7 linked regions of the Mus musculus genome follow. The protein of the gene in region 7 interacts with the protein of the main gene of each other region in a pairwise test. Links are inferred from orthologs where the notes say so. Each region holds a gene or a part of one and is shown on either strand. Other genes may lie near its edges.

Region 1 (3,988 bases), on a different chromosome or scaffold from region 7:
ATACATACAAATGCATACAAACAACACACACACACACACACCCCCAAGACATATTTTTACCGTGGTTTAGAGAACCTACTTCAATCTGAAGTCCTCTGCAGCCAGCTTAGCATTGTCAATTCGCAGGACGCACTGGGCATTTTGTACTTGAGCATCCTTAACCTGGGAAATGTGAGAGGAAGGAAGAATGACATTTTTCCCTGGGCAGGCAGGAGTGTAAGATCATTTTATTGGTCCTCAGAGACAACTGTGATTAAATCACAAGTGATGCCCATTTCGCAAATGACCATGGAAGAGCAGTGACAGAGGTATTCATGTCATGATTTGGCCTAGTTCCTTCCTGATTGTACAAAATGAGAGCTGAAGCCACCCACATCACTGGGCCTCTGTGAGCGCCTTGTCTGTGGCGCTGCTCACACTGGAACATTGCTGTTATCCCTTCTCACTTGGTGAGCTCCAGCTTCCTCACCTCTCAGCTCAGACAACACTTTCAAGGCCCCTCCATGATATCTTCCAGTTATAGCAGCGAATGCGCCGCCGTGGCTGTTGCCCTGCACAGCATCCCTGCATCTACCTCTCTGAGTGATGGTTTCTGTGGTCTGTGCCTGTTTCCACTTAAAGCACTTGCTATCTGTAGGAGTTAGGCGCAGGACAGAAGGATGGATACATCCTGGATCTGTGTGCATCTCTCTCTGTGTGTACATGTTTATATGCACAGGTGTATGTATGTGGAGGTCAGAGGACAATCTTACATGCCATTCCTTAAGTGCTACCTTTGTGTGTGTGTGTGTGTGTGTGTGTGTGTGTGTGTGTGTGTGTGTATGGCAGGGTCTCTCATTGTCTTGGAACTCACCAAGTTGGCCAGGCTGGCTGACCAGCAAGTCCCAGGAATCTGCTTGTTTTCCCAATGCTGGGAGTACAAGCACACACAGTCATTCTACAGCTTTGCTTTGTAACCTGGGGACTGAAGTCAGGTTCTCATGTTTCAAGGCAAACACCGTATTAAGAAGTAGATTAGAAGTCTACTTCTAGAAGATTTTAGACATATCCCTTTCAGCGGCTATTCCTGGAGAGAGGTCCCTAACCACTGGTCACTAATGGCTGTGCCTAAGTACTATGGGTAATCCCCAAGTCAATTCAAAAGCGTCAACCATGAGAGAAGTGCTTAATTTGAATTTTGTGTTGTATCGAGAAGCCTGAAGGACCGTCCTGTTGATGAGAAGGGCAATGTAAGCACCACACAGCTTCATGGGCTATGAAGTCTGAATTAAGCTGCATTGATGCCTGTAATTCAAACAGAACTCAAGACAAGAGGCCTGTGGTTAAGACAAAGGTCTTTGCTCTAAAGGCCTTTGCAATCATTTCGAGATTTAAACAAAACCCAAGGGGAGGCTTTTCCTGATGAGATAAGAACCCCGGGGCTGGGCAAATGGTGTGTGCCGATGCTTGAGGTCCTCAGTCAGGAGCGAAGTCTCCCACTTTTATTCCATTGGCTTTATAGAAAGGGGAACCCCACCTACCATGGATGACACAGGAACAGATTGTGATATGACTGTAATAAACTTAAATTGGGGGCAATAGAACATTTTATTATCACAGAGGTGCATTATAAAATGCTTGGTGATAGTGAGGAGATAATTAAATAAGACACTAAAAAATCCAGGTATCAGAACCGTGTATGGTGGCACAGTTCTTTAACCCCAGTGCTGAGGCAGTGGAGGCAGGAGGATGGTGAGGTCCAGACTAGCCTGGGATACACAGATCTTGTATCAAAGAGCAGTTCATCCATCCATCCATCCATCCATCCATCCATCCATCCATCCCCTATCACACAACTATTTATCAATCAGTATACATATCATTAATATCTGTAATCTGTATCCACCCTGAACCCTTTTGTTATTTATACCCATAGTAGGTTAATATATTTGTTATAACATTCATATAATGAAAGATGAAAAATCTCTTTAAATCAACTTGAGTCTTCAAAGTTAGTAAAGACTACTGGCAAACTCACATATAGAAACCATTGGAGGTCTTTGAAAAATAAGATTATCCACAATGAAGACCTTATATTGTAAGCCATAACAAAGATTTGAACTGCAATTTTGGATGATAAAATGATCATATTTTATATATAATTAGTTGAAGTTTTAGAAAAAATGTGAGTTAGACTCATCCTGTTTACAGATACCACATGATAAAATACATTTTTTTTTCAATTATACATTTCAACCTAATCTGCTTCATGTGTTCGAATTCACCTAGCATACATCTCTCAATCCATTAGGCAACTAAACAGTGAGGTAGAAATTACAGGCTTCATGGCTCACCTGATTTTGCAGCTCTTTAATCTGTGCGTAGTAGGAGCTATAGTCTCGGATGGTGCTCGGCGCGTTGGTTTCGTACCACTGCTTGATCTGGGCTTCAAGTCTGGAATTGGATTGCTCCAGGGAGCGCACTTTTTCTAGGTAGTTTGCCAATCTGTCGTTCAGGTTCTGCATTGCCAGTTTCCCATTGCCCCCAAACAGGTCCGATCCGTTGGAGAGATCACCCCCGTAGCTCATTACGGCTTTGGAGACAGAGATGCGAGTGCCATGGCCTCCAGCCCCACCATAGACGCTGGGTGCAGCCCCCAGACGCTGCACAGTCCCCTTCCTATACAGCGAGCCACTCATGCTGAGTGCTGGGCCTTGTGAGGAGGAACTCAGACTTCGGTGAAAACTTTGACGACTGAAATCCATCTGGGATGTAGGGAGGCAACGCCTGTAGCCTGGACTTGGAGCACAGCCTGTCTGTCTCGGGCTGCTGTGGAGATGACCTTTTATAGAGTTCAAGAGACTCCTCCTCTGCTGCCGTGTCACCTCAGGAATGACACAGTCCACCTTCCTGTCTCCCCTTCCCCCTCTTTTGTACGGCAATACGTTTCATTCCATTCCAGAAATTTCTACCAGAGGCACTTTTTAAAGGCTTTCCTGTGGGGGTGGTGGGAGTGGAGGTTTCTTTTTAATAAACAGAGATAACAAAAAGGACGAGGAAGGGGTGTCCTTTCAGGTCTTGCACCTGCCCTGGCAGGTTTTTTTTTTTTCATCCTGTATACAAATAAAGAATATTTACAATCTATATGAATAATTCAGGCATCGAACAAGACAGCTGTGGGAACATAATATAAGTCACACTGGTGAGAAAAGACAATGGCTTGTTCAAATGATTTTCTTTTAAAAAATGTTTTATGCTTCTTTAAATTTTTTTTTTACTTTTAAGTTTATCCTTGTTTAGAATTTATATTTACAGTCTATTGAAATGTCTTGAGTGAAGCTGGGTGTGTGGGTGTGCACCTGAGATTCTAGCACCCGGGAGTCAGAGGTGGGGGGGATCAGGACTAGTTTGAGGCCAGCCTGGTTGAAGTAAGGTGTTCCAGTCTAGCCCAGTGTTGTGTAACAAGACACTGTCTCAAAGTGCAGCTCCCCCCACCCCCGTTTAAGAATTGAATACGGTCAGTAGGTGAATATGTAAATGATTATCGGTGGGCGGTGGGTCAGTTGATTTTGGAGTTTTTTAAAAAAAGATATTTTAAATAGCATTTTTGGATAATTTCATCCATGCACATGTAGCGTATCTTGATAAACTCCTCTCCCACTCGCCTCTCCAGCTGCCTCCGAAGCGCCTAACACAACCCCACCCAAACTTCATACCTCTTTTTATCTTTTTCTTTTTAAAAATAACCAACTGGATCTAATTAGTGCTGCCTGTATGCTTGTGGGTGTGCGGCCTTGGACTGGGTGTGTGAGCAGCCTGTCAGAGGTCATAGATCCTCTGCCTGGCTCCCAGCAGCCTGCAACTGCCAGGAACATCTAGGTTAGCAAGGGGACCTTATTTAAAAAAAAAAACAAAAACAAAAACAAACTTGTTATAAGAATCTTGCAAATATTTTTAAATCTAGTGCTTCTTAAAAAAGAAACAGCAACATTAAATTACTGCGAAACTC
Region 2 (3,500 bases), on a different chromosome or scaffold from region 7:
AACCCAGCCAGAGGTGGCAAAGCCTCCCTGAAAGCAGCTTCAATCTCAGCCAGGCTTTTTCCTGGCTGTGCATCCTTTGGTTGGTTACTTATCCCCTCTGTGCCCTTAAGTGCACTCATGGTTAAAATGGAGATGATAGCAATACTTATCCCATAGGTGTGGTGAAGATCAGTGGGTTAAGGCATGGGTACAGTGCCTGGCATGAAAACCACAAGGGAATCAGTGTGAGAAAGATCTCACATGTTCCCTGATTACCTGCTGTATACAGGGAGCCTTGCCCAGGGTGACAGCATCTGCCACTGCTCACAAATGTTTGCCGAGCAGAAAGCTTAAGGCGAGAGCTTTATTTAAAAATAGGCCTTTCAAATCTGCTTCTCTCCGACGTTCAAGCACGTGGGGTGGGAAATACCGTGTTATTTTTATCCTCTGGAGTTGACCTCACACACCAGCAAGGCCAATACTGAGCACTATCTGAAACCAGGGCCCAGGGGGGGCCTGGGTACACAGATGCTCCTCCCTAGTAGGGACAGTGGCTTTAGTCGCCTTGTCCTCTGGCCACACTGTGTCTAGAAAAGTGACTCAGTGGTCACTGGCACTGACAGTCCTGACAGAAACAGGGGACACCGTGGTGCTTTGTGTTTTCACAGACCTCTCCCTGACTTGCTGGGTCACCACAGGCTGACCAGGGTAGGAAGTGGGCATCCCCAGCTCACACTGGGAGGGCTGTCTTTTTATACTGAGCATTTGTACCGGCTGGTTTTGTGTATAAGCTCGACACAAGAATCACCAGAGAGGAAGGAGCCTCAGTTGAGGAAATGCCCCCATGAGATCCAACTGTAGGGCATTTTCTCAATTAGTGATCAGCGGGGGAGAAGACCAATGGATGGTCCTATCATGGGTGGTACCGTCCCTGGGCTGGTGGTCCTGGGTTCTATAAGAGAACAGGTTGATCAAGCTATGGGGAGCAAGCCAGTAAGCAGCACCCCCTCCATGGCCTCTACATCAGCTCCTGCCTCCAGCTTCCTGCTCTGTTTGAATTTCTGGTCTGGCTTCCTTTGATGATGAACTGTGATGTCGAAGTCTAAGCCAAATAAACCCTTCCCTTCCTGACTTACTTTTGGTCATTGCGTTTCATCACAGCAATAGTAACCCTAACTAAGACAGCATCCAAGCCAACACTCTGGGTAACTCCAAGAGAACACATACCCAGGGCACTGGCTCTTCCACAAGCCTGGTCTCTGCCCAGAACAGGAAAGCAAAGTGCCCCATTGTCAGCTGTCTCCACACAGGGGCTCATGTGTAGGACAGCTAGCTTAGCCAAAAACTGGTTCATTGTACTGGAAATGTGACTCAGTTGGCAGGATGCTTGCCCTGTGGCATGAAGCAGGGGTGAGCCCTAGCAGGGGATAAAACTGAGCCTGGTAGCCTACCACTGTGCTTCCAGCATTTGGGAGGTAGAGTCAGAGGTTCAAAGTCATTTTTGGCCAGAAATGGAGTTTGAGGCTAGCCTGGACTACATAAAAGTCTATCTTTAAAAAATAATACCAATAAAAACAAAAACAAAACAAAATGACTCACCTATTTTCCTGCCCTCAGGTTATGAGAAGCTCCAAAAATGCCTACTATAGCATGAGTACATTAAGATCAAGTGTCCCCACTGCCACTGCTGCTCTCCCACTGTCATGGCTGGTCCCCCACTGTCATGGCTGATCCCCCACTGTCATGGCTGATCCTCCACTGTCATGGCTGATCCTCCACTGCCACAGCTGGCCCCCTATTGCTATGGCCAGTCCCCCACTGCTATGGCTGGTCCCCCACTGCCAGGTTTTTCTTTTCCTCACATCCACACCATGTGCGCCTTCATCCTTTCTCTCCTGAGTCTACATGACCTCAAAGAAGGCAGTATTTTACGCTTGCCTCAGATCCTGTCACAGAACTCCATCCATAGTGGGCATTGACACACTGCTCATCCAGCTGGTTGACGTGCGAAGGTAGCCAGTGCAGAGTTAAAAAGCCTAATCAATGCAATACCAATGTCATATCAGACAGGATGCCAACATTTACCTCATGGGGACCGTCATAAACAAAGAGGGAAACACGGTGTGGGTCCACACAGCCATTGCTGTAGCTATACTGTGAAGCCTCTGGAGAGGCAGGGCCTCAGGACTCTGGACGAATCTATCAATTTCTTATTGCTCCATTAAAAAGTACCATGGAGGGCTGGAGAGATGGCTCAGTGGTTAAGAGCACCGACTGCTCTTCTGAAGGTCCTGAGTTCAAATCCCAGCAACCACATGGTGGTTCACAACCATCCGTAATGAGATCTGACGCCCTCTTCTGGTGCATCTGAAGACAGCTACAGTGTACTTAAATATAATAATAAATAAATCTTAAAAAAAAAAGTACCATGAAGCTGGTGGCTCAGAACAATGTAAGCTACTATTTTGCAGCTCTGGAAGGAGCTTCTAAAGGTGGCCAGCAGGACTGTGGTTGTTTAGAGACTCCAGGGGAAAACCTCCCACTGTTATCTGTAGCTCCCAAAGGTGGCCTGGATACTGGAGCCTGTGGCTCTGCATCCTGCTCCCCAATCCTGTCTGCAGCTTTCTCTCGTGAGCACGCTATGATCCCATGGGGTCCACCTGGACAGCCTAAGGCCACCTTCCCATCCAGACACCTCTAACATATGCACTCTTGCAAAGCTCCTTGTTGTGTGTGAGAGAGCACATTTGTAGATCCCGAAGATTGGGGCGTGCTGCCTTTGTTGGGGAGTGACACTATTCAGTGACTATGTTCAGCAACTATTCTTACTGACTGGGCAATGCCCCTGAGGTCTCTGGTACCTGCAGCTCCCTGAGAAAGCTTGGGGGTCCATCTCAAGCATGTCCCAGTATCCCCTAAGCTTCGACACCCATGTAGGAGACTCCTACCACTGACCTGGTCATCAATCTTCCGCTGTAGCTGGACGACTTTGTTCTCCATGCCCACGTTGAGGCGTTTCAGATGCTCTGCCGAGCGGGCCTCAATCTTGAGGGCCTTCAGCTCCTGCCTGGCCTTGAGTCTCCGGAAGGCACACTGGATGACAATGGCTGCATCCCGCTCCCGCAGAAAACGCTTCCGTGCCATCCAGCCTCGGGCGTACTTCTGGATGATGGTGGCTTTGTGCTCCATGAGGACCTGGTGAGGATGAGTACACATATCCTGTGGGTTTGCTCTGCAGGATGGGGACAGGTACAGCTTCTGTAACTACGGGGGTTTGAAAGCTGGCCTGGCCTTGGGTTTAGGAGACCATGCATATGTGGCCTGTAACATCCAAGGATTTGATGGAAAGTTTTAGCTAGGTTCTGTAGACCTTGTGTACACAGGAGAGTGGCTGACAAACTCTTGTTTCTACCTTTATTTATTAGATAGATATGGTTTGAATAGGAATGGCCCCCGTAGACTTGTGTGTGTGTGAATGCTTGCTTGGCATGGCACTATTAGGGGGTGTGGCCTCGTTAGAG
Region 3 (3,722 bases), on a different chromosome or scaffold from region 7:
ACTCAGTGCATCAGAGTAACCAAAGAGACAACTCTCCTCTACTCTAGGCCGGAGCTGGTGACCTTCGGTTAAATTACATTCCAGAAGTGGCGGGCACTCCCACCTGCATCCCTCATTGACCAATCAGAGACTGACCCCCTTACTGACAATCTAAGGAAACACCCCTCAAAGTTATTAGCAGGCTCTAGGGGTCATTTGGCAAAATGCCCCTCCCATCTCACTCAAAAAATGTCCACCCTCCCTTCAGGTGCTGATGGTGCGCTTTGCATCGTTGTTCAACGTGAAGGACCAGACAGTGATGTTCCTGAGCCGCACAACCTACAGTCTGCAGGAGCTCGGTGCCATGGGCATGGGCGACCTGCTCAATGCCATGTTTGACTTCAGCGAGAAGCTCAACTCCCTGGCACTTACCGAGGAGGAGCTGGGCCTATTCACCGCGGTGGTGCTTGTCTCTGCAGGTGAGCCAAGCTCTCCCCTGACCCTGGAGGAGGCACACGCAGTTCAATTCAACATACCTTTTATGGAGAACCTACTCTATGCCAGGCCCAGCACTGGGCACTGGGCTACAGACATGATTCAGACACAGTCTAGCTTGGGAAACAGACTCATGCCCGACTAATTATAAAACAGCGAGAAGTGTCACACAAGAAGCATGAACCAAGTAAGCACAGACGACTATTTCTGCCCGGGAGAGCTGGGGAAGGAGGTGACACTTGATGTGGGGCCTCAAAGGGACAAGATAACTGCCAGGCATAGAGAGGGGGAAGGGCATCCCAGGCAGAGGGAACTACAGAGCAAATAACAAGGGAGCTTGGCCACGAGTGGCATGCTCAGGGTAGGAGGGTGGGCTCGAGGAGTGGGAGGTGGCCAGCCTGTGGCCATGCTCCCAGCGTGTGGGCGTGGCCCCGCTCTAGGGCAGAGGCCCCCCAGGGAGAAGGAGTAGCGCCCTCCTTCTCCTTTCCCGTTGCCCTCCGAGGGGCCTCAGGGAGAGGCTGCCTTGCCTGCCTGGTCCTCGCAGACCTCCGTGTCCTCCGTGTCAGAGGAGGAGCTCAGGGAGCTCGCCTCACTGCTGTCGTCTTCCCCACAGACCGCTCGGGAATGGAGAATTCCGCTTCGGTGGAGCAGCTCCAGGAGACGCTGCTGCGGGCTCTTCGGGCTCTGGTGCTGAAGAACCGGCCCTCGGAGACTTCCCGCTTCACCAAGCTGCTGCTCAAGCTGCCGGACCTGCGGACCCTGAACAACATGCATTCCGAGAAGCTGCTGTCCTTCCGGGTGGACGCCCAGTGACCCGCCCGGCCGGCCTTCTGCCGCTGCCCCCTTGTACAGAATCGAACTCTGCACTTCTCTCTCCTTTACGAGACGAAAAGGAAAAGCAAACCAGAATCTTATTTATATTGTTATAAAATATTCCAAGATGAGCCTCTGGCCCCCTGAGCCTTCTTGTAAATAACTCTTCCCCCACCCCCACCGCCATGCTCCCATCCTCCCCTATTTAAACCACTCTTGCTCTCTCCACCCTCCTCTGGCCCCTCGATTTGTTCTGTTCCTGTCTCAAATCCAATAGTTCACAGCTGAGCTGGCTTCTGTGATGTGTGCTCGTTTGGGGAATTGGGGTGGGGGTGGGGGACTACTGCCAAGGGGGTGTGGGGGGGGGGGAAGACACCTCTCCATCTGGTCAGCTTGTGGGGTGGGTACTCTGCCAGCAGATGGGAGAATATGGGGAAACAGCACGCAAGTCTAAGGGGGGGTGCCCAAGGGGGTTATTTTCATCATATATTTATTACATAAATATATAGTAAAATAGACGAGCAACAATTACCATAAAAATATCTTTCTTTAAAATCCTGACCCAAAACACAACGGGGTGAAAAATTCGCACATAACAGACATACTGATTGTCAACTGTGGGGCAGGAGGAGGAGCCCCTCAAGTCACCCCTGCCGGTCCCACCCATCTCTGGGGAAAGGACCTATCTCCTTCCCTGTTTCTAGCCACAACCCCTCCCCCCACCTCAGCACCAGCTTCTCATACATTCAGTAGCGCCTCTGGGTAGTGTCCCCCTCCTCCACCCAGGAGTTCCTAGGGCAGGAAGTAATTTCCCCCTTATGGATGGACGGACGGTGTCCATGTCACACGCCCTGCTCTCTCCCAGCCCACCGCCCGGGGAAGGGGTAGGGGCTCCTCCTCCCCCACCCTCCCCAAGTCTGAGCAGGGAGGAGGCTGGATGAGGTATGTGTGTTATAAGTGATGGGGGGGGGGGAATACTGAGATGGAGAGGCAGTGGTAGGGCAGGGTAGTGGTCATGGCTCTGGCACCCCCTTGTCCTGGCCTGGCCCCCCCAACCTTCTCCCAGCAACCCACCCCTCCCATCAATACTGCACCTGCTGCCCCACCCGGCCTGCCCTAGTGCCCCGGGCCAACATTGGGGGAAGGCATGCTAAGCACCCATGCCAAGGCCATCCCCCCATTAGCACCAATGGCCCCCAGGAGAGGGCCCTGTCCCCCACTTCCATGGCAGGGACTGGGACAGCTGCCTCTCTAGAGCAGGTGCGTGGCACTCCTGAGTCTCTCTGGCTCCTCCCACAACGTAGACTCACTCATCCACTCACACGAAGGAACACACACATACACTCCACATCACTGAGGGGGAGGGGAAGGGCTGAGGGGCAGGGGCTCACAGCTCATATGATTGGGGGGAGGGGGGAATTCCCAAGTGCCTATAAGAGGCCATGCCTATGGCTGAGAATGGGAATGGAGGGGAGTGGAGTCAGGGGAAGAAGGGAGACAGCAGGCAGGTCAGGAACTCCACTGAGTCCCCAGGTATGGGAGGGAAGTATGAGAGTATTATCCATGGGACTGGAGGAATACAGAAATCAGTACCCCGGGAGAGAGAGAAAAGAAGATAGAGATGAAGATAGCACAGGTGGCCCAGGGGCCCCAAGGAGTGGGGCAGGCACATGCACAGGTGACAGGAGATGCTCCTCCAGGCCCTCTGCCCAGTTGGAACACCTGAACAGTGGCAAAGGACACTGCCTGGGAACAGCAAAGCATTGCCTTCCACGTGTGTGTGTGTGTGTGTGTGTGTGTGTGTGTGTGTGTGTGTGTGTGTGTGTGTGTGTGTGTGTGTGTGTGTGTGTGTGTGTAGGGGCTGTGGCAGGCTGAGGGTCAGAGTGGGGTGGCAGGTTCCCCACTGCTTAAGACATTTTTGCCCCAATAGTGCAAAGCGCAGGAAGCCCTGGCACCCCTCCCCCGCCCCCTGCCCCATTCCCCATGGCTTCCGGGGGGCATCTATGTCCACCCATCCATCCCTGCCGACATGCAGCCCTGAGCCCAGGGCCACTGGTCTGCTCTGTTCCTCCTCCTCCTCCCTTCCCTTCCACTCTGGGAGGGCCACCTCCTCCCTCCCTCTCTCTCTTTCTCTCTCTCTCTGCAGAGGAGTGGGCTGTTAGCCAAAGGGAGGAGGAGGAGGAGGAGGAGGAGGAGGAGGCAGCTCACCCAAGTGCAGACCAACAGAGCACTCCTCACCAAAGGGTGGGAGGTGGCTCAAGCCAAAGTCCCTGAATTAGAAAAGAAGAGGGGAGAGGGGTTCCCAGGGGCAGAGGGGTGGCTGGCCTAAAGAGCTTCAAAAAAAATGGGAGGAGAGCCAACTGTCTCCTCCCCTGGGCCCCAGCTAAGTGCCACTGATAGAAACACCCCCCACTGCATGCCAACCTGCCCTATGT
Region 4 (4,069 bases), on a different chromosome or scaffold from region 7:
CCCCAGGATGGGACAAACCATTCTGGTACCAATCCTAGGGAACTTGAACACAGAATAGAAAGACAGGGTTTTGACCACTGGTCAGCTGGGTTGTGGACCTTACAGCATCCATCTCTAAGGGACCTCCTAAGATCATATCCCTAAGGTGCCCCCTTACTGTTTAGACCCACGGTAGTGGTGATTTTGGATAGACTCATCCCCTTGTAGTTCTTGTTAAAGCGTGTTTTTGACTGTTCCAGGAAAGTCTGAGGAAAAAAAGAGAGGGGGTTAGATAGCAGCAGCTAGAGTAGTTTTCTGGTGTCCTTCCCACCTATCCCTTCACACCCATGCAGCCATGCACGCCTCTGCCTGTGGCTTGATCTTCAGGAGGCTGGTGACTACTAACCTGTAGCCTTGGGGCGGGGGTTAGATCAGGCAGGGAATGGGAACTGGTGAGAGAGCAGGGACCTACCGTCTTCCCAGCATTGTCCAGGCCCAGGATCAGGATGCAGTATTCATCCTTCTGGAACATGTACTTGTACAATCCCGAAAGCAGCGTGTACATCCTGTTCTGGCACCCTGAGAGATGTCAATGTGTGTACCGGGGGCATCGGCCTCCTGCCCTGCCCGCTTCATCAGCGGTCCGCCTCTCCTGCTAGTTTTCAAATGTGTAGCCTCGCGGATCCTGACTCTTCGCCCCCATCCCGCCTCTTCTGTTAAAATCCCTGACCCTGATTCCCCCGATGCCATCGCTGACCACGTGCTAGACCTGGGCCACTCCCACTTAATGTCATCTTTCATAATGCACCATCAATTCGGAGTCCTGAAAAGCCCGTGGCGGCCTGCTCTGCTCCGCCTTCCTAAGGCTCCTCTTTCCGAACCCTCAACTCAGAACCAGGAAACGCGGCCGGCGACTTAAGTCTAGGAAGCGACCAGAGAGGCAGAGCTCCTGAGGAGGGTCGGCTTCGGCTTCCCGCCGCCGCCGGGCCCACGGAGCCTGGGAACCAGCAGCTGAAGCCACTTCCGTCCCCCTGTTCCAGGACTTTAGAACCCCGGCCCCTCAGTCCAGCTGAGGCCCACCCGTACCTGCTCAGATCTTGGAGGAGGAGCCGCCGCCGCCGCCGCCGCCGCCGCCGCGTTCCTAACCCCACCGACCTCACGCTGACCCCTCACAGTGCCTGACGGAACAAGGAGCGAAGGACGGAGCACGGGCGGAATCGCATCCCAGCGGCCCCCGCGCGCAGGTACTTCCGGCAGCTTCGGCTCTCCGGCGGAAGTGCCCGGCGGAGGGCAGAAGGCTAGCGCGTGAGCTTGGCTGGCGAGGGCGGAAGCCCTTCTAGCCTGCGAGCGCCGGCCGGAGGTGGGGTTGCGGGCCGCAGAGGACGGGGCGGGTGACGTGCAGGTCCCCCTCGGCGGAACCGCGGCCCTCCTCAGGCTCCCTAGCGGTTTTGGGGGCGGCGTTGCCCTGAGTTGTTCTTACTGCTCTTCCTCCTGTTTTTGTCTGCGGTAAAGGTTCCGAATCCTGCCTGCTGGGTCGGGATGGACGAGGACAACCTAGAGACTGCCCTGCAGACCTACCGGGCCCAGCTGCAGCAGGTAGAGCTGGCGCTCGGTGCTGGCCTAGACGCTTCTGAGCAGGCGGACCTGCGTCAGCTGCAGGGCGATCTAAAGGAGCTGATTGAGCTCACCGAGGCCAGCCTGTTGTCGGTCAGAAAGAGCAAGCTGCTGTCTACAGTGGACCAGGAGAGCCCAGCTCAAGAGGATGCTGAGTACCTGGCTTTCCAGAAGGCCATTGCGGAGGAAGTGGAAGCGCCCGGCGCCCCCTGCAATGACTCGGAGACGGCCCCTGGGAGCGAGGTGCAGCCGGGATCCACCTCCTCTGCACTGGAGGAGGAGGAGGAGGACCCAGATCTGGAGGAACTGAGCGGTGCTAAAGTGAATGCCCCCTACTACAGCGCTTGGGGCACGCTGGAGTATCACAACGCTATGGTAGTGGGCGCCGAAGAGGCGGAGGATGGTTCTGCGTGCGTCCGAGTCCTCTACCTATACCCTACCCACAAGTCCCTGAAGCCCTGTCCGTTCTTCCTGGAGGGAAAGTGCCGGTTCAAGGAGAACTGCAGGTAAAACCCTCTGCTGCTAGCAATGAAGGGCACGCAGTCGGGACCACCGCTGTGGCCTGTCGCCACAACTAGTTTGGCACCCAGCAGAGTTGGTAATAGAGTCCAAACCTTAGGTGACTGACAGGCTTTTACAGAAGTGTTCTCCGTGTGTTTACTTAGATTTTTCTTGCATACATCAAGAAGTTTGAAAGAGCTTATGTTGAAAAGATAGGGCAATCCTTCATCAATATTCTTCTCCAAGGTGTAAAACTTTTTTTTTCCCCTTTGAGATAGCAGTGTAGTAACTCTCGATGTCCTTGAATTCTTGATCCGTCAGCAACTCTACTACATCCTGAACGCCTTCAGTTTCCAAATGCTAGGATTACAGGTGGAGGCCACCACTTCTACTGGGCTACATCTCCAGCTCGGAACCTTTTTTCTTTTTTTCTCTTTTTAAAAATTTATTGACTATGCTGAGGATGGAATTAGGGCCTCCAGCACACCAGGCAACCAACTACTGTACACCTTAGCCCCATCCCAGCTCCTGTAGTTTGCATAGTCTTACAGAAAATTTCAAACACATAATCTCTTGCTGACTTGCCCTACCTTCCCCCCCACCCCCCGTGCTACTTGAAAGCACCTTTCACAAGTTACATCTTTTTCTCTCACCCTCAAATACTTCAGAATGTAGCTGAAATAATAATTACTAAAACTGATTTATGTCTTTTTTTTTTTTTAACTCAGTCATCCAGAATAACCCTCTAGTACTTTGAATTTATTTATTTTAGGCCACTAAAATAAAAAGATTTGTTCTATTATAATGGTAGTAGTGAACTAAAATTAGTTTCACTTGGCAGGATTTTAGGCAGGGCTAGAGCCTTGGAAGTCTGAGGGCAGAATCCAGAACCCATTTCTTTGTCCATTTTTCTTTAAGGTTGTTATTATTATTTTATTTTGATTTTTAAAAAAATATATTTTAAAGATTTATTTATTTTGCTGGGCATTGGTGGCGCACACCTTTGATCCCAGCACTTGGGAGGCAGAGGCAAGCAGATTTCTGAGTTCGAGGACAGCCTGGTCTACAGAGTGAGTTCCAGGACAGCCAGGGCTACACAGAAAAACCCTGTCTGGAAAAACCAAAAAAAAAAAAAAAATTATTTATGTATGTGAGCACACTGTTGCTCTCTTCAGACACATGAGAGGAGGGCATCAGCTCTCATTGCAGATGGTTGTGAGCCACCATGTGGTTGCTGGGAATTGAACTCAATACCTCTGGAAGAGCAGTCAGTGCTCTTAACCACTGAGCCATCCCTCCAGCCCCTTATTTTGACTTATTTATTTTTTACTTTTTTAATGTTTTTCTCTAAAGATCCATCGGTTGCTTTTGTCTCATTTTGTTTTGGTAAGGTGGTTTGATACATGGTCTCTATGTAATCCTGGCTGTCCTGGACTACATACAGCTATGAAAGGCCTTGGCTGGCCTTGAACTCACTACCGAAAGGCTGGGATTAAAAGTTTGCACCATGGCCTGACTATTTTAGGCTTTTTTGAGACAGAGTTTCTCTAGTAGTCCTGGTGGATTTCCTGGAACTTACTATATAGATCTGGCTAGCCTGGAACTCAGAGGCATGCACTACCATTTCTGGCTAAGATATATTTTTAGTTAGTGTGTTTGTGTGTGTGTGTGTGTGTACGTGTGTACGTGTGTACGTGTGTACAGGTGCCAGAAGAGGGTATAGGATCTCCTAGAGCTGGCGTTCCAGGTGGTGGTGGTGACCTGCCGAACATAGATCCTGGAAAACAAACTCAGGACTTCTACAAGAGCAGTATCCTCTCAGCCACTGAGCCATTTCTCTAGCTCTATGTATTTACATTTATCTTTAGATTGCGGTGGGGGTGGGGCATGTGTACAGGTAGGTGCCCAAGAAAGCTAGAAGAAGGTGTTGGATCTCCTAAAGCTGGAATTGCTCACAGAAAACATTAACCACTGA
Region 5 (3,933 bases), on a different chromosome or scaffold from region 7:
CCTCGGAGTTGGCCATTATCTCAGGGTCGCAGAGCTTCTCCACATCCAGGGTCACCTGGCTTTTCCTAGCTGCAACCTGTAGTAGCTTCTTGAGCTTCTCCATCTTGTCCTTCAAGACATTGATATCCAGACTGGATTCGTCGCCATGGATGTCAAGGGAGGACCGGCTAGAGGCTGCGAGGGCCAGTGTCTTGTTCTCCAGGTCCAGCTGCAGAAGTCGCTCCTTCAGCTTCTGGATGGCCAGCTGGTCTTTCTGCTTGGCTTTCTCGTAGGTGCCCAGCAGTTCAGATACCTCAGAGATCTGGCTCTCCAGGGCTGCTACTCTCTGCTCTTCTACCTGAGACTGCTGGCGGAGCTGGTCCTCTGCAAGGGCTGTCTGCAAAGCAAAGAACAGGTGACAAGGCATCCAGGAAAGTCACAAAACCCCTAGAGTCAACTGGGTGTGGGGGAGGAGACAGAGAAGTGAACAGGGCTTGGAATAACCCAGAACAAGTGGGAACTGGGGATTTTTAACTGAAGTGCCCTTTCTACCATAGTTTTCCATTCTTCATTAAGCTTGAATACAAAGTATGTTTCTGTTAGCCAAATCATTTAAAGAAACCGTGTAACATTCTTTCCCTTTCCCAACATGCCTGTAAATTCAAACCCAACCTAGATCCCTCTCTCTACTGAAAGGGAACACTATAAAACAGTTGAGGCAAACCTCACCTGAGCGTATACACAAGGCATTTCTTCTGGGGAAAATCCCCTTTGCTTCCTCCAGTCACCTTACCTAGAAGCACACACTTCTCAGGATACACACAAGCTTTCCCTACACAGCTGTCACTGTATCACCTCAAGCAGCACAGCTGGTAAGATGCCAACACCCAAGGCCTAGATAGAGCTATCTGGCTTGAACCCAGAAATACTCAGGAACTCTTCATCCTGTTAGAAGGACACCACACAAAGCCACACTTCACGGGACTCACTGATGCAATTTTTTCACTTGGCATCAAATATCACTATGCATGTTGGGAATGTGGAACCAGACCAAAGTCCCAGTACTCACACTAACAACTCACGCTATCTCACCAGGCATCCCTTGACTAAAACAAGACCCTGCCTTAAGTGGGGAGAGGGGTGCCCTTAATCCTAGCACTTGGTATGGAAAAGCAGGCAAATCCCTGTGAGTTCAAGGGCAGACTGGGTTACATGGTAAGACCCTGCCTCATGAAAACACACACAGAGAAACAAACACACACACACACACACACACACACACACATAGGGATGCATTACAGTTATCTAATGACCAGAAGAGAAAAATAATAATTTCCTATGTAAGCTAAAATGACTATTTGAAGGATATGAGAATAATTACCTTCCTCATTTCTTGCTGCAATTGGGCCTGGAAATGGCTTTTAAGACGGGCAGCCTCTTGCTGAAGCTCCTGCAGCCGGGGGTCTGGTCGGTTCTTCTCATCTCGAATGGTTTGCAGCTCACCTTTCAGCTCCTCTACCTCTCGGGTCAGCTGCTTGGTCTGCAGTTCAAACCCTTCGACCTGATCAGCGGCATATGCCCGCCCTGCCAAGGCTTCTCTGGTCTCTTCTAAGCGAAGTTCCAGGTCCTGGCGCTGGGTCCTCTCCTCCTGCAAGAGCTTCTGAAGCTCGCGCAGCATCAAGGCATGGTCACTCTGCTCCTGGGCACGATCGTGCTGCTGTGTAATGAGGCGGGCTTTGGTTTCTGCTATCTGCTCTTGCAGCACCTTCAAGTCTCCCTCCAGGCGACCCCGCTCTTCCTCTGCCTTTTTATTGGCATCCTCTAAGTCCTGCTTCATCTTCTTCTTATCCGCCAGGTAAGACGCCTCCATACGGGACTTTTCCTGAGTGACTGTCGCCAAGGAGCTAGTCAAAGTGGCCAACTGAGTCTTCAGCTGATGCACTCTTTTGTCCATCTCACTACCGGCAGATGGCCCATCCCCACTGCTACTACTAACGCCACTCTCTGACCCACTGGCCTCTTCAGACTTTGGGGGAAGTGGTCCACGGGCCGCTCTGTCATCTTCAACCCCAAATTCACCCTTGACACTTGTAAGACTGGCTGCGGTATCCAAGCTAGTGGCAGTTCCGGTGCTGTCCTCACTGTGAGTGGAGCACCGGTCATCCACAGAATCAGGAAACGTGAGACCTGGAGGCTGCACACCTGAGAGGCCTACATCCGCCTCGTGGGATACCGACAGTACCTTGATGCTGGCCTCCAGGGCTTCTTTCTCCTTCAGCAGGCTTTTATAGGCACGCACCACATCCTTGAGTCTTGCCTGGTACTGGAGAAGCTGCTTTTTCTGTGTCTCGATGGTCTCCAAGAGATCCTTCTTACTTGGGCCGCCCCCGAAATTCATCCCAAACTTCTCCATGGGGGTTCTGGCGTGGACCGCTCCACGTCAACGTTCTTGCAGCCCTGGGCAGAGCCACAGGGACAGCTAAAAGTGAAGCAGAGAGAACCGTCTGGCTGCAGGCAATACACCCGGTCCGTCCAGCGGTCCGGGCGGGATGAGGGGCCGCGGTGGCCAGGCAAAAGCACTGCAGGAGCCAGGCCGAAGGTGGGAGCCAGTTCCAACCTGGAGGCGGAGTGACGCTGACCTAGCAGGAGCAGTCAGCCTAGGCTCTCCAGTACAGGCCCTGAGCCTGTCCCGCCCTAGCCGCTCCTGTGGCCACCGCAACCTAGACCCGCCTCCCTCCGCCCACGATAAGCCCAGGGTTTACACTAAGCCGGGTTCCATCACGATTTCCCAACAACTGGAACAGCACCGCTTCCGGGTCTCCTGGAAGTGACGGCAGCAAAACGCCACAGACCCCGCCCCGCCGTGGGCGTGAGATGGGTGGGGCTTCCGCACCGTGTCTGCTGGTGGCCTGGAGAGGGAGTAACCCGTAGGTAAGTCTAGAGCAAGCACCTGAGCAGTGGTTTGGAGATGCCTAACTTTGCCCTCAAGCTACCACCAGTGAGCGACAGGGGGCGACGTCGCACTGCATTTGCCCCAAAAACATAGATGAAAGACGCATCAAACTATTTGGGGCAATGTCCAACATTTGGGGCAACAGTTAGGACTCATACTAGGAAAACGAGGCCGGTACCTGGTTAACGTAAAGCATAATAGCTCCCTCCCTTAGTTCTGATTAGTAAAAGGGGCATTATATAGCCATAAGGCCCATCTTGCATACCAGCATATGCTGGGGTCAGGGCTGTGTCACAAGAGTTACACTTACGGGAACATAGAGTAAAATGTACAGAGGGGTAACATGTCCAATGTCACTCAGCTAGGAAGTTTAGGAGTCCTATCTCAGTCTGCCTCTCAACATACTACATGCTATGCCAGATAGCACTACTGAAGAAGCATGGCCTTGTCCCAAGAAACTCCTAACAGCAAGGACACAGAGATTCAAACAGGTAGCTCCTGCCTTCACACTAGTGTGTCGGGGCATTGCAGAAGTGGTATAAAGGAGATGAGGCACCTGCCAGGACAGAGACTCTTAGGGGAAATGATTTGAAGTTTGAGAGATGAGTAGACTGCCAAGCTCAATGCAGATGTGGGAAACCAGCATGGAGGAAAGTGGAAAGGTGTATAGGGACGTCAGGCATCAGTGAGCCTAACTTGCCCAGGAAGCTTATGGTGTGGGAGAAGGGTGGCTACTGATGAGGCTGGAACAAAGGACCCAACTTAAAGGCATTTAGATTTTACCTTAGGTGACAAGACATGAAAAGATTTTCATCTCAAGAGCACACCATCAAGTCTCCTTTTTCTTTTCCATCAAGACTCTTGTGGGGACTGTAAGACGACTCAGCAGTAAAGGCACTTTCCACCCAGGCCCAATGATCTGACCTGAGTTCTATCACCAGGGCCCACACGGTGGAAAGAGAGAACATATTCCCACAGGTTGTCCTCTGAGAGCTACACCT
Region 6 (4,093 bases), on a different chromosome or scaffold from region 7:
AGCTCTGGCTTGCAAGGCATAACTGATCCCTCCATCTACAGCGGTGTCTGCCCTGCAAAGATTTACGCTGCACCTCAGCACGCCAAGAAGGCCCACAGCAAAGGACCCTGTTTAACAGGTTTAATGCATGCTAATCACAAGTTTCACTAACCTTGCCTATAGCCTTACCTTCCCGGTTTCAAAGTTACATCCACTAGGTAGGCACAGCACACTGGAGGGAAATCTAAAACCATCTTTTTTTCCTTAAGATTTTTACGTAGGTATATGAGTACACTGTTGCTGTCTTCAGACACACCAGAAGAGGGCATCAGATCTCATTACAGATGGTTGTGAGCCACCATGTGGTTGCTGGGAATTGAACTCAGGACCTCTGGAAGGGCAGTCAGTGCTCTTAACCACTAGGCCAACTCTTCAGCCCAGCAAACCACCACCTTTGACTCTTCAAATTTACACCTGATCTCACAGTAAGTCTCTCTTCTCACATCTCTCCTTCAACATGTCTTCCGTGGTCACAAACCCTGGTTCAGACTTACACAACCCAAACCAGCAACACAAGATCCCTGTTTGGCCTCTCCTGGCTGGCTGGCCCGTCTGTCCTGCACAGCTATGCCCCATAGCCTACAAATGCTTTCACAGTGGCCTCTCACCTCCAAGTATACCTCGGAACAGTCAGCTGGAATTAAGTTAAAATCCTGAGCCCCACTCCTCCAGAGAGCATCTGCATGTGTCTGGCACCCAGTAGGCACTCAGCCAATGTTTGATGGATTACAAACACAGACCCCCAACCAGCGAGAGCAAGCACCAGACTGTGCGGACCTTGCCAAGAGAATGTGTTATGGAAACAGCAAGGGCCAGACCGATCCAAAGACCTCTGTGATGGCCGTGTTATTCATCAAGCTCCGCACAAATAGGCCGGGAGAGAGGTCAGACTCGCTTGGCCAGAAAATGCTAGCTGTCTTCCAATTCTTTCCCAACCCGAACAACAGGGCACAATGTAACTGCTCTTTTTGGAGTATGCCCGTTCCCCTCTGCTGCCTCAGATGGCAGAGACAACAGGTTCTGGATCAGATAACCCCGGGCTCACCTCTGCTGGCCCCTTTCTTAGGCTAACCACAAGGGAGGTCAATAACTTCTAACATCCATAACCTCGGGCAGCAGTTCTCAACCAGGGGTCACAACACAAGCCCTCCGACGACTGCACAACCCTTTCACAGGGGTGGCAGATCCGACTATATTGCTTTTAGAGATTTACACTATGATTTACAACAGTAGCAAAATTACAGTTATGAAGTAGCAAAGCAGTAATTTTATGGTTGGGGGGGGTCATCACAACAGGAGGAATTGTATTATAGGGTCACAGCACTGGGAAGGTTGAAAACCACTGGCCTATGTCAGCGCAAAAGTGCAGACTCCCGGGACCCCAATCCTTCCCCGGGTCTCACTTGCTACTTGCTTTATTTTGACGTATGGTGGACTCTACTAAACAATGGGGGTATTAACGACATCTTATGTTATAGGACAGTGGCTCTTCACTGGGAAAAGTTAGCTTGTTGGAGATACTGAGTCATTTTTTGATTATTAAAACTGGGGGCATCTTGGCATCTGGTGGGTAGAGAAGGACCAGGGATGCTGTTAAACGACTCTCAACGCACAGGATATCTCTATCTCAGGAAATAACGACTTGCCTCCCCCCCCCCCCCCCCCATCAATTGTGTTGAGGCTAAGAAACCCTACAGTTTTACTCTAGGGAAAAACACTCAGGAGTCCACACGCCTGCAGTTCCTCTACCGCTCTGGACTGCCCTCACCAGCCCCGTCCTCTGAAGCCTCAGTCTCTGCTTTCACCTTGTCCAGGTTCGCATACAAACCTTCCGATGCCGGTGGACAGGATGGCCGTGGAAGTCTTCAGTTCCTCATAGAGATCTGCGCCATTTAAGGGGAAAGCCGAGAACTGCGCCAGCAACACCCTCCTCAGGGCAACGAGGGCCTGCCAATAGGGCGGACACTCAGGCTCCAGGCCCGCCAGATTGCCCCCTCAGAGCAGCGCCCCCCCCCCCCCCCATCTATCCCAAGGAACTCTGATCCTGCAGCGTGGGGGCGCAGCTGGAAGAGGGGTTGGAATGGAGCTTGCAGATCGCGAGCTCACCTTGTAGGACAAGCCACACTTCTGGGCTACTTCCTCCAAGTCAGCAGCTGCCAGGTCTGCCACTGGAAAGAGAGCAGGTGCAGGTGATTGGCAGCAGGAATGGCTTAGCCTTGCCACATTTGCCTTTTGCTCTGTTGTCAAACGGGATTAAGGTCTTATTCTACTACCTATCTCGAGCACGCAGGCCCTGATGCAGGACCGACCCCGCAAAGGGCCCAGCACTCAGTAAAATCCTCTGCCTCGGCTCCTGCGAACCCAGCTTCCTCAGAAAGTCAGAGGAAGAGTGCGGCCATCCTGTTAGAGCAAAAGGCCCCGTATGTGTACCACGACCACGGTGCCGACCCCCGGGGTAGTGCCCATGAGGTCACCTGTTTTTATCTTTCGGCCTCTGAGAAGCTGGACGGTCTCCTCGGTGAGGCCCGGGCACAGCCCTGCCCTGAGCATGCCCATAGTCCCTACAAACCCAGGATGCCCTGGGGGCTCTCTGTCACTTGGGCGCTCGCCGAGTCCCCCACTCTGGGCATTCCTCAGTTCTACTTAGGGAAAAGGTCCTGGCGTGCCAGCGCGGGACGAAGGGGCGGGAAGAGGATGCAAGTCGAGGTGAGGGACACTAACCCTTCCCAACTCGCAAGACTCTAGGCGCCCTAGGCCCGCCCCCTCCGGCCGACGCTTCCGGGTTCCGGGACTGGAGCGTCTTTTGTAGGCCAGGCCTGCAGCGCCATCTGCTGACCATGAGGGCAAACACAGAGGCTTTGCGACTCGCGCCAGCCACCTGCAAGCACACCTAGAGCTTACATACATGCACAGAGACACAAGCACACACACCGACACACACACACACACACACACACACACACACACACACACACACACACACACACACACACACACACACACACACACACACACATTTTGTGTGTCCAGCGAGTCTTCCAACGAGTCTCTTGTGTATACCAGCCTCTATTTGCAAAGCTAGGGGACACTCACTCTACCTAACTCAATATTTACAGAGTGAAGCATCCCTGACTTCTAGTAGCATTCTTGTTAGGAAGACAATGAAAGTGGATCAATTCAGATCATTACAGATTGTATGATCAAGCTGAGATCCAGCGAAGTTCACAGAGAGTACCTGTGTCCCTATATTTTCCAAATTTATCAAGTTCTATCTTACGTATATAGATGTTTTGCCTGCATGGATGTCTATGCAATCCTGGCATGCCTGGTACCCAAGGCAGCCAGAGAGAGGGTCAGATCCCTTGGACTGGAGTTACAGATGGTTAAGAGCCACCATGTGGGTACTGGTCTTCTGGGAGAGCAGTCAGTGCTCTTAACCACTTAGCCATTTGTCTAGCCCAACATTTTCCAGAGGTTTTAATGGAAGTAGGGAAATGCTTGAGTATATAAAATACTATTTTGATTTTTTTAACCACATCTAGTGGAAGAAATAAAGCAGTTTTACAAAACCCACGAGTGAGGTTCTATTTCTGCCTGTATTTTGTAGTTGAAGGAATTTGGGCTCAGTAAGATTGTTATTCTTTGATTTATACAGATAGGAAGCACAGAACTGAATCTCCAGTCCATATCCAGCTGCAGGGCTCATTTTTAGAAATATCTCCTCATGTTCACCATTGTCTCTCAATCTTTCAAGGTGTTTGGAATCCTGGCCCTGAAACCAGCTACTCTGTGAGCTACAACCCACAGTAAGCTTTCACTGTGCCTGCGTTACTGGCTATGGTGGGATTTGCTGCTTAGATCCCAGGATAGAGAGCCTTAGAAGTATCAGTAGGCAAAGGCCTTCTCTTCAAAGTCTGGTTGGCTCAGGCCAAGTGGTGTTCTCTGTGCCACTAGCCTGCTACCCCTTCCTGGACAGCTCTAAAGAGGCACAGGCAATTAAGCCTTTTGAAGTCCTCAGAAGAGGACCGAGTAGTTGTGACCACAAACGTGACCT
Region 7 (3,987 bases):
CCATGCCTCAGCTCTCGAAGAGCTTCATCCTGTCGCCGGCCGCCTCCGGACACCCCTCCTCTAGGATCCCGGTCCCCAACATGCGGCCGGGACCCTGCCTGCTGCGCTGCGTAGTACTGCGAATGGGCTTTGGCCTCCTCATAGGTGGGCAACTCTTCTCCTTTGCTGGGCTGTGGGCACAGCCGGTACAGCCTGTTCTCTGCCAGGTGGGTCTCTCCACCCTGATGCTCCTGGCCCTGGGGCTCCTGCCTGGTGGCTTGCTGCAGCACCTGACTGTCCTCGGGTGCTCCGATCTCCAAGGAAGCCTGGGGGCTCCCCGTGCCCCCAGCTCCAGCCCCACCCCGCAGGGCCTGCTGCTGGATAGCCAGCAGAGTGCGAGTCTCTGTCAGGTTGCCGTAGCGCAGCTGCTCTTGGATGAGACGGTGCAGGACTGTCCCTGAGGAGTCTTCCAGTGTCCTCATGCTTCTCTGGCTTGCACACACCTGCCTAGACAATGGCCAGCAGGCACCTGGTCTCAGAGCACCTAAGAGACAGAAAGAATAGCAGTCAAAGGAAGCACAAACAAAGGAGGGAGGGGCACTTGCAGGAACACTCTGGATGAAGGAGGAGGCTGGGTGGGTAGGTGGGTGGTTTTACACAGGCCCAGATGCAAGTGCTAATATGGCCATCTATTGATTAAGTTTAGTTACTGAGCTTCTGATCCTTAGTTTGCCATTAATATAAATATATATATGCATATATGTATATACATACATATATATGTACACACACACACACACACACACACACACACACACACAGTGTGTCTCTTGGAGTTGAAATGTAAGAAGCTGAGCGCCTGGTATGCTATAAATCCTTGGCAAATGCTTATCATTGTAACATTTATGGAGATTTAGCTGATCTTACAGATATACAACAGAAAACCAGAAGGCTATCTCATATCACAGTCCCCGGCAGTCAGCCATTACCCCAAACAATCTCATGGGCAAACTGTAGGACAGGCGTCCATCAAATTCAACCACTTAGCAATAGGGTTCCCAGTTTACTGGCAGGCGGTAAAGAAAGAATGTAGCCCAGCAGAAAGAAGCCCTAAGCAAATAATTCCATTGATTCTTTAGAATAAAGACGCGTGAGCCAGACCCTGGGCTCAAAGGCTGCTGATAAAATAAATCTGAGTCTCCCTGTCACAGATGACCTTAGCAGCCACTCTGCAAGGTGAGCAGCACAAGAAGCCCCATGGAAATTGGTGAGGAGGCAGAGGGGAGCTTGCAGTAACTGAGCCAGGGAAACATTTTCCATGACCACCAACCTCTTTTCTTGGCACACACATTTGCTACTTAGAAAAACCCCTCCCTACGTGTATGCTAGAGGCACACAGGGGATGATCCCTCTGCATCTCTGTTGATATTAGTAACAACTACCTATGCCAGTTGATGGGGTAATGAGGCGAGGGGGGAGACAAAGGAAGGGGGTGGTGGCCCCTTTCTGTGCCATACTAATGCTAGCCCCCTGTCCTACCTCAGTTTGGGAATGGTATGTTGGCAGAGCTGGAGAAAGGTAATGAGCCCTGACGATACCCAAGCCAGCAACTAATCCTCCCCCCCCCCCCCAACTGCACCCTGCAATGTGTAAGACTTGAAGAGTCTGCTCACACGCGGCTTTTTCTACGCGGTATTTCCTAAGTTAATCACTGTCTGGGCTGACTCGCGCTAAGGATCCGGGAGCGGCTAGAAGGAATGCTGAGCCTTCCCGGCAGATTCCAGGCGCGCCGACTATGAGCCAGGCTCTCGGAGCACCGAACATTTCCGAGGCCTTTCATCGCACAAACGTCCCAATCGAATCCCCTAGATGCACAATCTTTCTTTCAAATACTTATATAAGAGCACTTACTGAAAATCAACTTCCTTACACGGGCGCTGTACCTGGGCTGCACTGGAGCGCTGCACTCGGAAAACCAGCCACCTTTCTAAGCAAACACGGGTCTCTGGCCTTGGCCTGGGCTCACTCCAGCAAAAGGAACCAACGCTAGTCTCCAAGTCAACCAGGCCAGTCCAGGGTCCCGGCGTTACTCACCTCTACCGAGGCAGACCACTAGCACCGGTGGCTGCCCGAGCGCCCCGGGCGAGCAAAACCCGCAACCGCGAGAGGTCTTTAAGCATCGCGGGTACGCCTCTCTCCCTAACCCTCTTTGTTTTCCAAATACTTCAGCGCTGACGTCACCGGACTGGACAGCAGGCTGCATTCTTTCTAAGTGAGAGCCAGTTCGTGGCTCCGCAGAGGATTTTCCAAGGAAGACAAAGAGGAATTCTTGAGCTAGCTGAGGGTAAAAGCCACCTGTATCCCCAATCCAGACAAAGCAGCCACGGTAACCTCATAATTCAGCGAGATATGCCTACCGCAGCTTTTCACTTGCCCCGCACGCGAGACGCACACTCCCAAACACTGATCCTCTGTCCTTCCTCCAGCCCCAGTGGGTCGGAGAATGGTGTCCTCACCCCCACAAAAGCGCGAGCAGTCTAGGCTAGACACCCAGGATCGATCCTCGAAAGGGTTCACAGTCTCCCCTCCCGCTCCCGGGGAGGCTCGTCCACCCCAGCTCCGATCTCCAGAAAGGGTCGGACTGATCGCGGTGTCCCGCTGCTGCTGGGAAGCGTCCCCGCCGGCCTCGCGCACTGCCCGGAGTGCCCGGCACCTTGCTTACCGCTGCGGCCCGCGGCTGCCGGCGCACGCAGACCCGGTTCGGCTTAGGTACAGTCAGCAACGGAGGTGCGCACTAGTCGGTGGCGCCGATGATCTGCTTGCTCGCGCCCCAGTGCGCAGCCTCTAGGTCAGCCCGCGCTGGAGGCGGCTGCTATGCCAGGAATGTGAGAGTTTCAGGTTCCCCCTCGGGATCAAAGCGAACCACAAATAACCTCTCAGCGCGCCGCCCTCCTCCGCTCTCCGCCTCCCTCCGCTCCCCGGGCCAGCCCCCGCCTTCCTCCCGGGAGGCGGCGCTGCGGCTGGCCGCTGGGCTGGCCTCAGCCTTGTCCCCTTGCCACTCTGGGCTCTGGCGGCCGTGCGGCATTCATTCCCTGCCACCCTGCTTTGTGTCCTAGCTGTTGGGAGTGTCTTAACCAACTCGTCCCAAGATCGCCCCACCACTGCCCGCACCGGGTTCTCACCCTCCATTCCTACAGGCACCGAGGGACGACTCCAGGGATCAGCCTCTCACGCCCCTATGGTGGCTGTAAGAAGGGTCTGTGGCGTTTTGGAAATGGCGGGAGGACTGCACAGCAGTTCACATCCGCCCAGCCTTGACAGTGTTGCAGACGAAACGATGTTTCGGCCCGCCGCTGCCCAGCCTCTTTCCTAACTCCTACTATTTCACCCCCCAGCGGCAAACTTTGAATTGCACTTTTATTGTTTACAAACACCTTGGCCAGCTCTTTTAATCCTGCCTCTACAGGAAGTGTGTGAATCTGGGTTGAAAATCTGGTGGATTTAACCCACTACCTAACTAAATGAATCAACCACTCACTGGGCATTCGGTCCAACTCCTCCCTAACTCCGCTCATCTTTAAGCCAAGCACGCGGCGGGTCACCACTTGCTTTTTACTCGGCCATCCGACTCCAGTAACCCTCCGACGGTGCTCTTATCATGTCTGTAATAAATAAGAAACCAAGGTTCAGAGAGTCTAAACAACTTGCCTAGGGTCACACAGAGAGTAGCCAATGAAGCCAGGTCCCTTTTCTTGGTCTTCAAAATCCGGTCTCCGTAACCTGACAAGGCAGAGAGTCTCTGCTTCCACCTACCTGTCCCGAGTTTCAGTGTCTTTTCCACCTCGTCTACACCTAGCCAACCCTCTTTGTCTTCCGCTTCTCTGGCTTTTGGTGTGGAATCGACTCCTTTGTCATTTGGACCCTTCTACTTCCCCAGGAGACTCCTCCAGCTTAGCTGCTCTGACTCCCTCCCCTCCCCGCCCCCCCCACCCTCTTTCTGGTTAGAGC

The links.
Region 1: the proteins of Amotl2 (region 7) and Krt20 interact in binary tests that used the Homo sapiens proteins (3 or more experiments, as listed by UniProt). The two-hybrid records come from large-scale screens. The link is inferred for Mus musculus from reciprocal best matches to the Homo sapiens genes AMOTL2 and KRT20.
Region 2: the proteins of Amotl2 (region 7) and Myo5b interact in binary tests that used the Homo sapiens proteins (3 or more experiments, as listed by UniProt). The two-hybrid records come from large-scale screens. The link is inferred for Mus musculus from reciprocal best matches to the Homo sapiens genes AMOTL2 and MYO5B.
Region 3: the proteins of Amotl2 (region 7) and Thra interact in binary tests that used the Homo sapiens proteins (3 or more experiments, as listed by UniProt). The two-hybrid records come from large-scale screens. The link is inferred for Mus musculus from reciprocal best matches to the Homo sapiens genes AMOTL2 and THRA.
Region 4: the proteins of Amotl2 (region 7) and Zgpat interact in binary tests that used the Homo sapiens proteins (3 or more experiments, as listed by UniProt). The two-hybrid records come from large-scale screens. The link is inferred for Mus musculus from reciprocal best matches to the Homo sapiens genes AMOTL2 and ZGPAT.
Region 5: the proteins of Amotl2 (region 7) and Gcc1 interact in a two-hybrid assay, tested with the Homo sapiens proteins (2 studies listed by BioGRID and IntAct). The two-hybrid records come from large-scale screens. The link is inferred for Mus musculus from reciprocal best matches to the Homo sapiens genes AMOTL2 and GCC1.
Region 6: the proteins of Amotl2 (region 7) and Rad51d interact in binary tests that used the Homo sapiens proteins (3 or more experiments, as listed by UniProt). The two-hybrid records come from large-scale screens. The link is inferred for Mus musculus from reciprocal best matches to the Homo sapiens genes AMOTL2 and RAD51D.

The regions. Positions count from the first base shown.
Region 1 is NC_000077.6:99,435,354-99,439,341, forward strand, and holds the start of Krt20 (keratin, type I cytoskeletal 20), read right to left. Parts: upstream 2,801-3,988; 5' UTR 2,745-2,800; coding exon 2,334-2,744; intron 163-2,333; coding exon 80-162; intron 1-79. UniProt on the Homo sapiens protein: Plays a significant role in maintaining keratin filament organization in intestinal epithelia. When phosphorylated, plays a role in the secretion of mucin in the small intestine.
Region 2 is NC_000084.6:74,701,119-74,704,618, reverse strand, and holds part of Myo5b (unconventional myosin-Vb), read right to left. Parts: intron 3,175-3,500; coding exon 2,935-3,174; intron 1-2,934. UniProt on the Homo sapiens protein: May be involved in vesicular trafficking via its association with the CART complex. The CART complex is necessary for efficient transferrin receptor recycling but not for EGFR degradation.
Region 3 is NC_000077.6:98,765,785-98,769,506, reverse strand, and holds the end of Thra (thyroid hormone receptor alpha), read right to left. Parts: exon of another isoform or gene 1,351-3,722; coding exon 982-1,350; 3' UTR 501-981; downstream 1-500. Other genes in the region: Nr1d1 (nuclear receptor subfamily 1 group D member 1), read left to right, coding at 248-458, 1,088-1,287.
Region 4 is NC_000068.7:181,364,154-181,368,222, forward strand, and holds the start of Zgpat (zinc finger CCCH-type with G patch domain-containing protein), read left to right. Parts: upstream 1-1,269; 5' UTR 1,270-1,518; coding exon 1,519-2,099; intron 2,100-4,069. Other genes in the region: Arfrp1 (ADP-ribosylation factor-related protein 1), read right to left, coding at 158-245, 452-544. UniProt on the Homo sapiens protein: Transcription repressor that specifically binds the 5'-GGAG[GA]A[GA]A-3' consensus sequence. Represses transcription by recruiting the chromatin multiprotein complex NuRD to target promoters.
Region 5 is NC_000072.6:28,418,925-28,422,857, forward strand, and holds the start of Gcc1 (GRIP and coiled-coil domain-containing protein 1), read right to left. Parts: upstream 2,801-3,933; 5' UTR 2,393-2,800; coding exon 1,361-2,392; intron 377-1,360; coding exon 1-376. UniProt on the Homo sapiens protein: Probably involved in maintaining Golgi structure.
Region 6 is NC_000077.6:82,887,825-82,891,917, forward strand, and holds the start of Rad51d (DNA repair protein RAD51 homolog 4), read right to left. Parts: upstream 2,801-4,093; 5' UTR 2,596-2,800; coding exon 2,514-2,595; intron 2,208-2,513; coding exon 2,146-2,207; intron 1,987-2,145; coding exon 1,868-1,986; exon of another isoform or gene 1,845-1,867; intron 1-1,844. UniProt on the Homo sapiens protein: Involved in the homologous recombination repair (HRR) pathway of double-stranded DNA breaks arising during DNA replication or induced by DNA-damaging agents. Bind to single-stranded DNA (ssDNA) and has DNA-dependent ATPase activity.
Region 7 is NC_000075.6:102,716,617-102,720,603, reverse strand, and holds the start of Amotl2 (angiomotin-like protein 2), read right to left. Parts: upstream 2,801-3,987; 5' UTR 2,702-2,800; intron 2,212-2,701; exon of another isoform or gene 1,891-2,211; intron 524-1,890; coding exon of another isoform or gene 462-523; coding exon 1-461. UniProt on the Homo sapiens protein: Regulates the translocation of phosphorylated SRC to peripheral cell-matrix adhesion sites. Required for proper architecture of actin filaments.